2 linked regions of the Yarrowia lipolytica genome follow. The protein of the gene in region 1 interacts with the protein of each later gene in a pairwise test. Links are inferred from orthologs where the notes say so. Each region holds a gene or a part of one and is shown in the gene's direction. Other genes may lie near its edges.

What was found.
Region 2: the proteins of YALI1_E29235g (region 1) and YALI1_B19044g interact in binary tests that used the Saccharomyces cerevisiae proteins (3 or more experiments, as listed by UniProt). The link is inferred for Yarrowia lipolytica from reciprocal best matches to the Saccharomyces cerevisiae genes YPL150W and NAP1.

The regions. Positions count from the first base shown.
Region 1 is NC_090774.1:2,921,729-2,926,671, forward strand, and holds YALI1_E29235g (uncharacterized protein), read left to right. Parts: upstream 1-1,754; coding exon 1,755-4,166; downstream 4,167-4,943. Other genes in the region: YALI1_E29221g (uncharacterized protein), read right to left, coding at 1-416; YALI1_E29263g (uncharacterized protein), read left to right, coding at 4,606-4,943. UniProt on the Saccharomyces cerevisiae protein: Putative serine/threonine-protein kinase.
Region 2 is NC_090771.1:1,902,621-1,906,320, reverse strand, and holds YALI1_B19044g (uncharacterized protein), read left to right. Parts: upstream 1-1,849; coding exon 1,850-3,121; downstream 3,122-3,700. UniProt on the Saccharomyces cerevisiae protein: Acidic protein, which assembles histones into an octamer (in vitro). Involved in the regulation of the localization and the function of the septins during mitosis. Involved in the function of B-type cyclins.

The DNA.
Region 1 (4,943 bases):
GCCTCTGGCAACGGGACAGAGTCGCCGTTAAATTGTGACCGCGGAATGAGCTCAAACTGTCCGTTTTTGATCCACAGACGCCCCTCGGCGGTCTCAGGCTCTATCCAGGATGGAATCACATGGGCCGCCTCAATCAACAGAAAGTCGCCATCAGAATCACTCACATGCACACTGACGGGAAGCTGTAAGGTAAGACGGTAAAGAATGTATACCACCAGCCATTCGTCGTCCAGGGCAGGCCCAAAGGTCGTGGAACCAGAAACTGTGTTTGGAGACGAAATGTCAAGTGTGAACGAGTCTCGGTACCAAATGTACCCCGGAGCTACTTGTGCACAGAGCTCTAGAGCTGCGAATACCACGTCCTTCGGAGCCACAGATCGACATGCAATGGTGTATGTGACGGTGTCAAGATCCATTTTGTGTCGCCAGTGTTGTGTGTTGGTTGTGAATAATTTATTTCGTTAGGGACATGATGAGACGCATAATGATGCAGCCTGGGAGGTTAACTTTATGAGGAGTCGAAGGGATTTGGTGATGTTGGTGTAAAATGGACTAGGGGGGGGAGATAACTAGAATACAAAGTTTTGAGTATGTTAGAAGTAGCTTTTTGAGAACACAGGCATAATATCAGATCTATCCGGTCACTTTTGAACCTATCAGAGAGATGTGTCATGTACTGTAAGGAGAAAGTCAAGTTGATGGGTGGATCTTGGCATTTGAAGATTCTCACAAGCAATTCATCTTTTTTTAGTGAGTCCAAAATACTGCTGGTGTTCTTCCTGGATGATTCTCCCGCCACCAAAACAACTCTCAGGGGTCTGGACTTGGTGTAGAAGAAGGAATAAGGGGACTCTCTCGATATTCCGAACAGTTAGAGGTACCGGTACAAGTCCAGGGGTCTGGATCTATAGATTGGATAATAAGTCAATCGAAATTAGAAGAATGGCTTCTTGTCCAATAATACGGACATGACAGGCTGTATGTTGTCACCCTACATGTAGTCTGAGACGTGCGTACAAGTAACTACAAGTACATGCTGTACTCATACTATTGCACATACCACCTGAACACAGAGCAGCTACCAGAACAGTCCAGAACAACGGCATCAGTCCGAACCAACGGGAAATCATATAAACCGAGATTGGAAACCCCATCTACGCAAAAATACCCACCTATCACCATATATTTTCCCCTCGAAAACTCATCTCACTTGTGTGACGCACTCGTAAATAAGCGAGATTAAGCGACGGTGGGAAATTACCGGGGTTCAGGAGCAGATGAGGGTCTGAAAATTTGACGGTAGATGAAACCAACACACAGAACTTGATTTCCGCTGTAAAAACATCCCCTCACCATACTTTTATCTGCTAGAAAACACCCACTCGAAACACTCCGTTCGGTTGCAGTTGGAAGAACAACTCTATCCTTCATGTCCCAACTCAAGCGTGTTTTGGCTCACTGGTTTTGACTCGTGTTTCTAGGTAGCCCGAGAAGAGGGTTGTCTAAAGAAGTGTTCGAGCTGGTATTTCCGTAAAAATATTTCGCAGATCTGCTATAAACATCTGAAATATTCTCCAGATTGACTTTACTACCCTAACCCCCGCACATTTACCCCTAAAAGAACCCTCCCCCCTGATGTTGACATTACGTAAAGGTGCAGGTACAAGATAGGCTATGTTGCATGTATGTGGTGAAGCGTAACCGCGACTGAAACGACCGACCAAACTCGCTGCTCAGACCTCTCCAGCGTGACAATGGCAGACAAGGCCCGCATCAACAATGCCAAGGCTCAGCTGTCCGAGTCATACAACGCGCTGCTGGACCATTTCCACGCTACCGAGCTCAAGGTGATCGGCAACTACAATGTGGTTCGGCTCATTGGGCAGGGCTCGTTTGGCAAGGTGTATTTGGCGACGCACAAGTTCACCAACACCAAGGTGGTACTCAAGTCGTCAGCCAAGAGCGCCCCCAACCTTGTGCGAGAGATTCACCATCACCGGCAGTTCAAACACCCTCATATCACTCGTCTCCACGAGATTATCGTCACGGAGACGGTGGTCTGGATGGTGCTCGAGTACTGTCCGGGAGACGAGCTGTACACCTATCTGGTGGAAAACGGACGACTGTCTGTCGACGAGACCCGCAAAATATTTGCACAACTGTGTGGAGCTGTCACCTACGTCCACAACACCAAAAATTGCGTCCATAGAGACCTCAAGCTCGAAAACATTCTGTTGGACAGACACCATAACGTCAAGCTGTGCGACTTTGGATTCACACGAGGATACGAGTCACGAGTCATGCTGGAAACTATTTGTGGCACTTCTGCCTACATGGCTCCTGAAATGCTGCTGGGCAAAAAGTACAGCGGAGAAGCTGTCGACGTGTGGTCTCTGGGAGTCATTCTGTACGCCCTGGTATGTGGCGAAATGCCGTTTGACGAGGAGGACGAGGAGGACACGAAAAACCGCATCATGAACGCCGAACCGGACTATGCCAAACACCAATTGCCGGCAGATATGTTGGCTTTGCTTAAAGGAATGCTTTGCAAGAACCCTCATCAGCGACCCAAGCTCGCTGAGGTGCTGAACAACGGCTTTTTGGGTCTGGAGGGTATGCGGCAGGCTGAAATGCTGGCAGCTAAAGAACCCAAGCTGTTTTCAACCAAGATGGAAAAACATGTATTGAAACGCATGAAGGCGCTCAATATTAGCATTGAGAACCTCTACGAGTCCGTATCCAAGATGAAATGCGACTCTCTGGCCGGGTTCTGGGCTGCATCGTTGGAAAAAGCATACAAAAAGGAGCGACGCAAGCAGTCGCGAAGAAGATCAAGGTCGGCCTTCTCATACTCGTTTGATATCGCTCGAAAGCGGCCGTCGGAAGAGAATATCGGAGACTCAATGCAAATGACCGCTCCTCATTCCCCTTCTTCTCCCTTATCAAAAGTACGGCACTTCGACGGCCTAGGAATCAGAAACAGACTGTCTGGAGACTTTAGAAGACCGTCCAGTGAACAAGTGTCGACCCCCAGACAGTCCCTTGATTTCAGACCGCCCCATAGATCCACTACCACAGGTGAAGCCATGACTTCTCCTCCTGCTCCTGACTCTCCCAGATCACCGAGAGACACGGCCACCAACACTCCAGACACGTCTGTGACACTCGAGAGACCACATACGGTTGGCGAAAGTCCCCGATTGCAGGCCTCTCCGTTTGATAACCGCTCTGTGACATCTGACGGCTCTTCTCTCAAAAAGAAGGGCAACTTTGGCAAGTCTCTCAAGAATGTCATGCTCAAAATGGTCTTCATTGGCAAAAAGAAACCCACAACTGAGGGTAATACCCAGTCGGAGCCTAGTCAGTCTTCCGGCACTGGAAGATCCCTCCCCTCGTCTCTACACTCCTACAGCATCAAAAACAAGTCCAACACCTCCCTAGAGGAGGGCATCGCACCGACAGAAACCGTTCCAGACGTACCTCCACTACCACAAAGTGCACCTGGACTCACCTCTCTCAACAGCCAGGACAATATCGAGCCTATGACATCTTTCCGAAGAACTACCCGTCGAGAACGACCAATCTCGCAGATTTCTTCCTTCTCTGGTATCTCTCAAATCTCCGGCATCTCTGCCATTTCATCGGCGCCTTCCGTTTCGTCTTCTCTAGAACGATCTGGCTCGGGAAGCAGACGCATTGTCATGCGAAGACCTTACTTTGGCCGTCGCTCTACCTCCTCGTCGTTTTCTTCGATCCAATCCCATCGAAAAACACATTCCAAGGCATCCTCCACGTCTTCTACAGACGAGTATTTGGGAGACGATACAACCGATCCCGGCTCTCCGGGGCCCTCAGAAACACCCACCACCTCTTATGGACGTCACTCGACAAGCAACAAAAAGGCTCATTCGAAGCAGCACGATTATAACGAAACGGCGCAGTTTAACACATACAAGCCGCCCAGCCGGCGACGCAAGTCGGCCACCAAGGTGTCTTCACCCAACATGGCTCTGTTTCCCAGTCGGTCTCGTCCCACCAATTCTAAGCGTCCCGATAGAAAGGGTTCTGTGATTGAAGAGGAGGTCGAAGACGAGTATGTGGAGGAGAGCTTTGACGGAGACGATGGTGATGGGCTGGACTTTGACACAAGGGGCAGGAGTTTCTAGACTGAAGATGCGAGCATACTGGCCAGGACACATACAACCCATTCATGGACGGTGCAAAAACGGACCAGATATTACGTAACAGTTATTTATTATTGAACAGCAGATTGCGCGTACTTGTAGTTATCAACAGTAAGGAGATTCCCGCAGTGTCTTTTTTTTTTTTTTTTTTTTTTTTTTTTTTTTTTGCCTATCATTAGATTGTGGGGTGAGTTTAAATGAGCCGCATGGAGTTGGTGGGGGGAGAGATGTGGGGCATAATAGTAGGTATTTCAGAATTTTAAAGCTGAAATCGAATAAGAAGCATTGGAGTATCACAAGGAAGCTGTTATTATTTCGATACGAGCTTCTTTGGTCAAGTTAGACCGAACATGTTATCCTCACCTCATCGTCAAACTCTCCTGCTAATGATCGAAGCTTGAGTTATCTCAACAAACTCATCATGAGCATGGATACCCGTAAAAGTGATACAAAAGAGCTGAGTCTGGTCGAGATCGTGGACTTGGTGTGGACCTCTACCGAAGAAATTGGTCAGGATCTCAAACAGAAGGGTGAGCGACTTTCAAAACACTACGCCGAACAGCTGGAGCAAGCTCTGACCACTCCTGTTCTCGCTGTTCCATCTACAAAAGAACAATGCATAGAAGCTACTCGGGATCTGAAGCACAAATACAACAAACTCGTGGAAGAATTGCGGCCGTCACGTGACTCATTCCAACTGAGTCTCAATCGGCATGTGGCGCTGCTGAAACGGGTGGACCAAATGAGCCGACAGTTCTC
Region 2 (3,700 bases), on another chromosome or scaffold:
GGCGGCATATCGCAGATTGTATGCAATTGTTGTGCGAGAACCATCAAACAATAGCGTCCAGAGTTCCAGAGAAACCTATGCTGCAGCAATTACCTATATCTTGATATGATCACACACACATGTCGTACAAGTACAAGTAGGTCAATAATTGTAGTTGTTCTGTGTCAGGTACGATAATGTACTGTATGTTATGTCCTTCGTTTCGTTACCCCAGTTTTTGGATCCTGCCTTCCAGCTCAAGTGATCATTCCTTCCACTTCGTGTGGAGTCAAGGTTCATCCTTCATCCGTCACTGAGCAATGGAAGAAGCGGGGAAACGGAAGATAGCAATCATACCTTAACGGTGATGAGTCGTGTCTCATGGGAGCATTGTGGGTTATTTGGAACAAGACCTACAGTAATTACAAGCACTTGTACTGGACAATATGATAGTATCGTATCGTAGTGTGATCGTTATGGAAAGTATAAGAGATAGTCCTACAAGTAGTTAGCTTATCACGTGCATATTAACAGATTGTCGTCACACTGGCCAATGTTCTGCCACGATGGCACTTGACGACCACTGTTGTGTTTCTGTCACTCCACAGCACGTGTTGAGTCAATTGGGGTTGGGACCTGGAGGCTTGGTTTCGAATATGCGTGGATCCGTTGGGTCCGAGTTTATGCCATGGGTTTATGGCCATCAAAGATAGATGGGAGTCGGCATTGTCTGCAATCGTCGGAGGTAAGCATGACTCATGATGAGTCACGGTAGCGAGGTGGCAAATTGAGACCGTATCTCTTGATTCTACTCGTACTTGTAGCTTCCTGGTTGATGTCTACGATCACTTCTACTGCATCGTGGCTTCGCGGGATGGGGTAATCTGTCACCCACAGCGTACCCCAGTTTAGGACATGCAACCGTTAAAAGAGTACCAACGTAAAAACAAGTGCTTGTGTGAGTAATACGTGAATTGTCCTGCAAACAACATTTTGACAACTGTGACGTATGCAACTACCCACAAGAGAGTCTACACACACAATTGATTTCAGTCGGTCGTCAACAATCTACGTCGTATCGCCACTACTGTACACACTACTGTACCCCTTCCTTCCCTGTGGTGCCGCGGATTTCATTTTGAGATTAACCCTTGGTCTGCTTGCCAAGGTTGGGGACAGCAGCCAAAGAAGAGGACAGTGGCGAAAAAAGACGCCGCACCGCACGGTTGAAGATGGACTTCGAAGAGAGAATTGAAAAAAAAATGTAATGTACGCACAGGTCAGGCACCAAACAAGGCAGGACCAGCAGCAGGAGGAAGGCTTTGTACTGGCAGAGTGCAGGCACACTTGTCTCCGAAACAGCAGGCAGTCAAGTTCTAGAAACTACCCCTAATATTAGGTGCATTGTCACAGCTACCCCAGAAACCTGAATAATCAATAACCACGACGTCCGAATAACGTGCTCTGGAGATTGGTGTGAGTCTGTCGTCAGGTGCTGGACGTTGTGTGCACAGGGGTGAATGAGGATACATATGGGCGCGCAGGTATCGTAGAAAAGAACACACGTACGTATGACCAGTCAGACGCTCAATTCTCAATTCAGTAGGTCAATGGGGAAGAGACTGTAGAAGTACAGGTTATTAATCAGGATACATGCCATGCTTTTCGTCTTTTTAACCGATTGCTGTTTGTCCTCCTCCATCTCCTCTCCCGCACCTGTTTAGCTCTACCCTGCCTTTTAGCCAAATAAACTCCAATTGGGATACTTGTTCCAACAGACCACCCGCAGCTGCTTTAGATTTTTTCCACACACCCACCAGTCTGCACACAGACACATACCTCACCACACACCTAGTGCACTCAAATAATCATGAGCGAACCCATCAAGTCCAAGCGAATCGAGCAGCTGTCCAGCATTGCCCCCACCCCTCAGAACACCCCGGCCTCCAACGCCTCATCTTTCCTCCAGCGAGCCGCCAACCCTGGAGTGTCTACAATTGCTGAGGATGGTCAGGGGGAGGTCGACCTCGGAGCTCTGAGCCGAGACCCCGCTCTGCTGTCCCATCTTGCCGGTCGACTCAACCAGATGGCCGGTACTTCTTCGGGCTACGTCGATTCTCTGCCTCTGGCTGTGCGACGACGAATCGATGGTCTCAAGGCCCTGCACCAGCAGGCCTCCGTGGTGGAGGACGAGTTCCACAAGGAGATGCTGGAACTGGAGCGAAAGTTCCAGGCCAAGTTTGCCCCCATCTACGCCGAACGAGCCGCCGTCATTGGTGGCGAGAAGGAGGTATCTGAGGAGCAGGTTGAGGCCGGTAAGAAATACGAACAGGAGCGAATGGAGCGAATGTTTGGTGTCGACGGAGACGATGTTGAGGAGGATGAGGACGAGGAGGACGAGGATGCAAAGGACGAAGAAGAGGAGAAGGAGGGTGATGATAAGTCCGATGCCAAGGGTATTCCCTACTTCTGGCTCACCGCCATCCAGAACCTGCCCGGTGCCTCCGGTCTCATTTCCGAGCGAGATAGCGAGGCTCTCAAGTCGCTCATGAATGTGCGAATGGAGTATCTCGACGACAAGCCTGGCTTTGTGCTCATCTTTGACTTCGCCGAGAACGAGTTCTTCACCAACAAGCAGCTCAAGAAGTCGTATTTCTACCTCGACAAGGTGTCTGACACCGGTGAGCTCATGTACGACCACGCCGAGGGTGAAGAGATCGACTGGAAGTCGCCTGAGCAGAACCTGACCATGGAGATCACCAAGCGAAAGCAGCGAAACAAGCACACCAAGGCCACCCGAATCGTGGAGAAGGCCGTCCCCACTGAGTCTTTCTTCACCTTCTTCAGCCCGCCCAAGGCCCTGGATGAGGAGGAAGAGGACGAGGACGAGGAGGTTGACCATGAGGAGCGAGACAATGCTCTGCAGCTTGACTACCAGATTGGTGAGGAAATCAAGGAGCAGCTCATTCCCCGAGCCGTCGACTGGTTCACCGGATTTGCTCTGGAGATGGAGATGGAGCATGGTGACATGGGCGAGTTTGAGGATGAGGACGACGATGAGGATGAGGATGATGACGACGATGATGATGAGGACGACGAGGAGGGAGGCAAGAAGGAGGCCCAGGAGTGCAAACAATCTTAAGGAGTAACATACTAAATAAGACGCGTGGTTACACGCATGATATAGTGTTGATTATATGAAAATATTTTGAGGACGATACATGACTATGTACCGTATGGGCAATACAAGTAGCTCAGACAGTACGTACTGGTTGTAGCTCGAAGGCATAATTGTCCAAGTAGCTCGAAGGTAACATTTAACAGTTGCTACAGCGGGACCGGAGACCGCGAGTAGTATGGCGCTCTAACGACTGTACAGTATTTATTGAACGAAATGTAGCTGTAATATTATGCATTTGAGGAGTTCCCGGCTACGAGTACTGGTACAAGTAGCTACTTTTTGAACTTGTATAACGGTGCAGTAGCTACGATACTGTATTGTACACAATGGCACCAATTTCCCACATTGGCTTTGTAATAATGAAGGCCTTTTCAAATTGGTGGGGGCAAATGCAAGCGAATATAACTGCAACCAATGGCTTGGCTACGTGCTTTTTATTCAAGTGGGGATAGATAGCGGTGGTTTTCTTGTATTATTATTTTTTGGTCACCGTTACTTTTAGTTTTGTTGTCCAAATATCGCAGTTTTGTACTGTCTGTT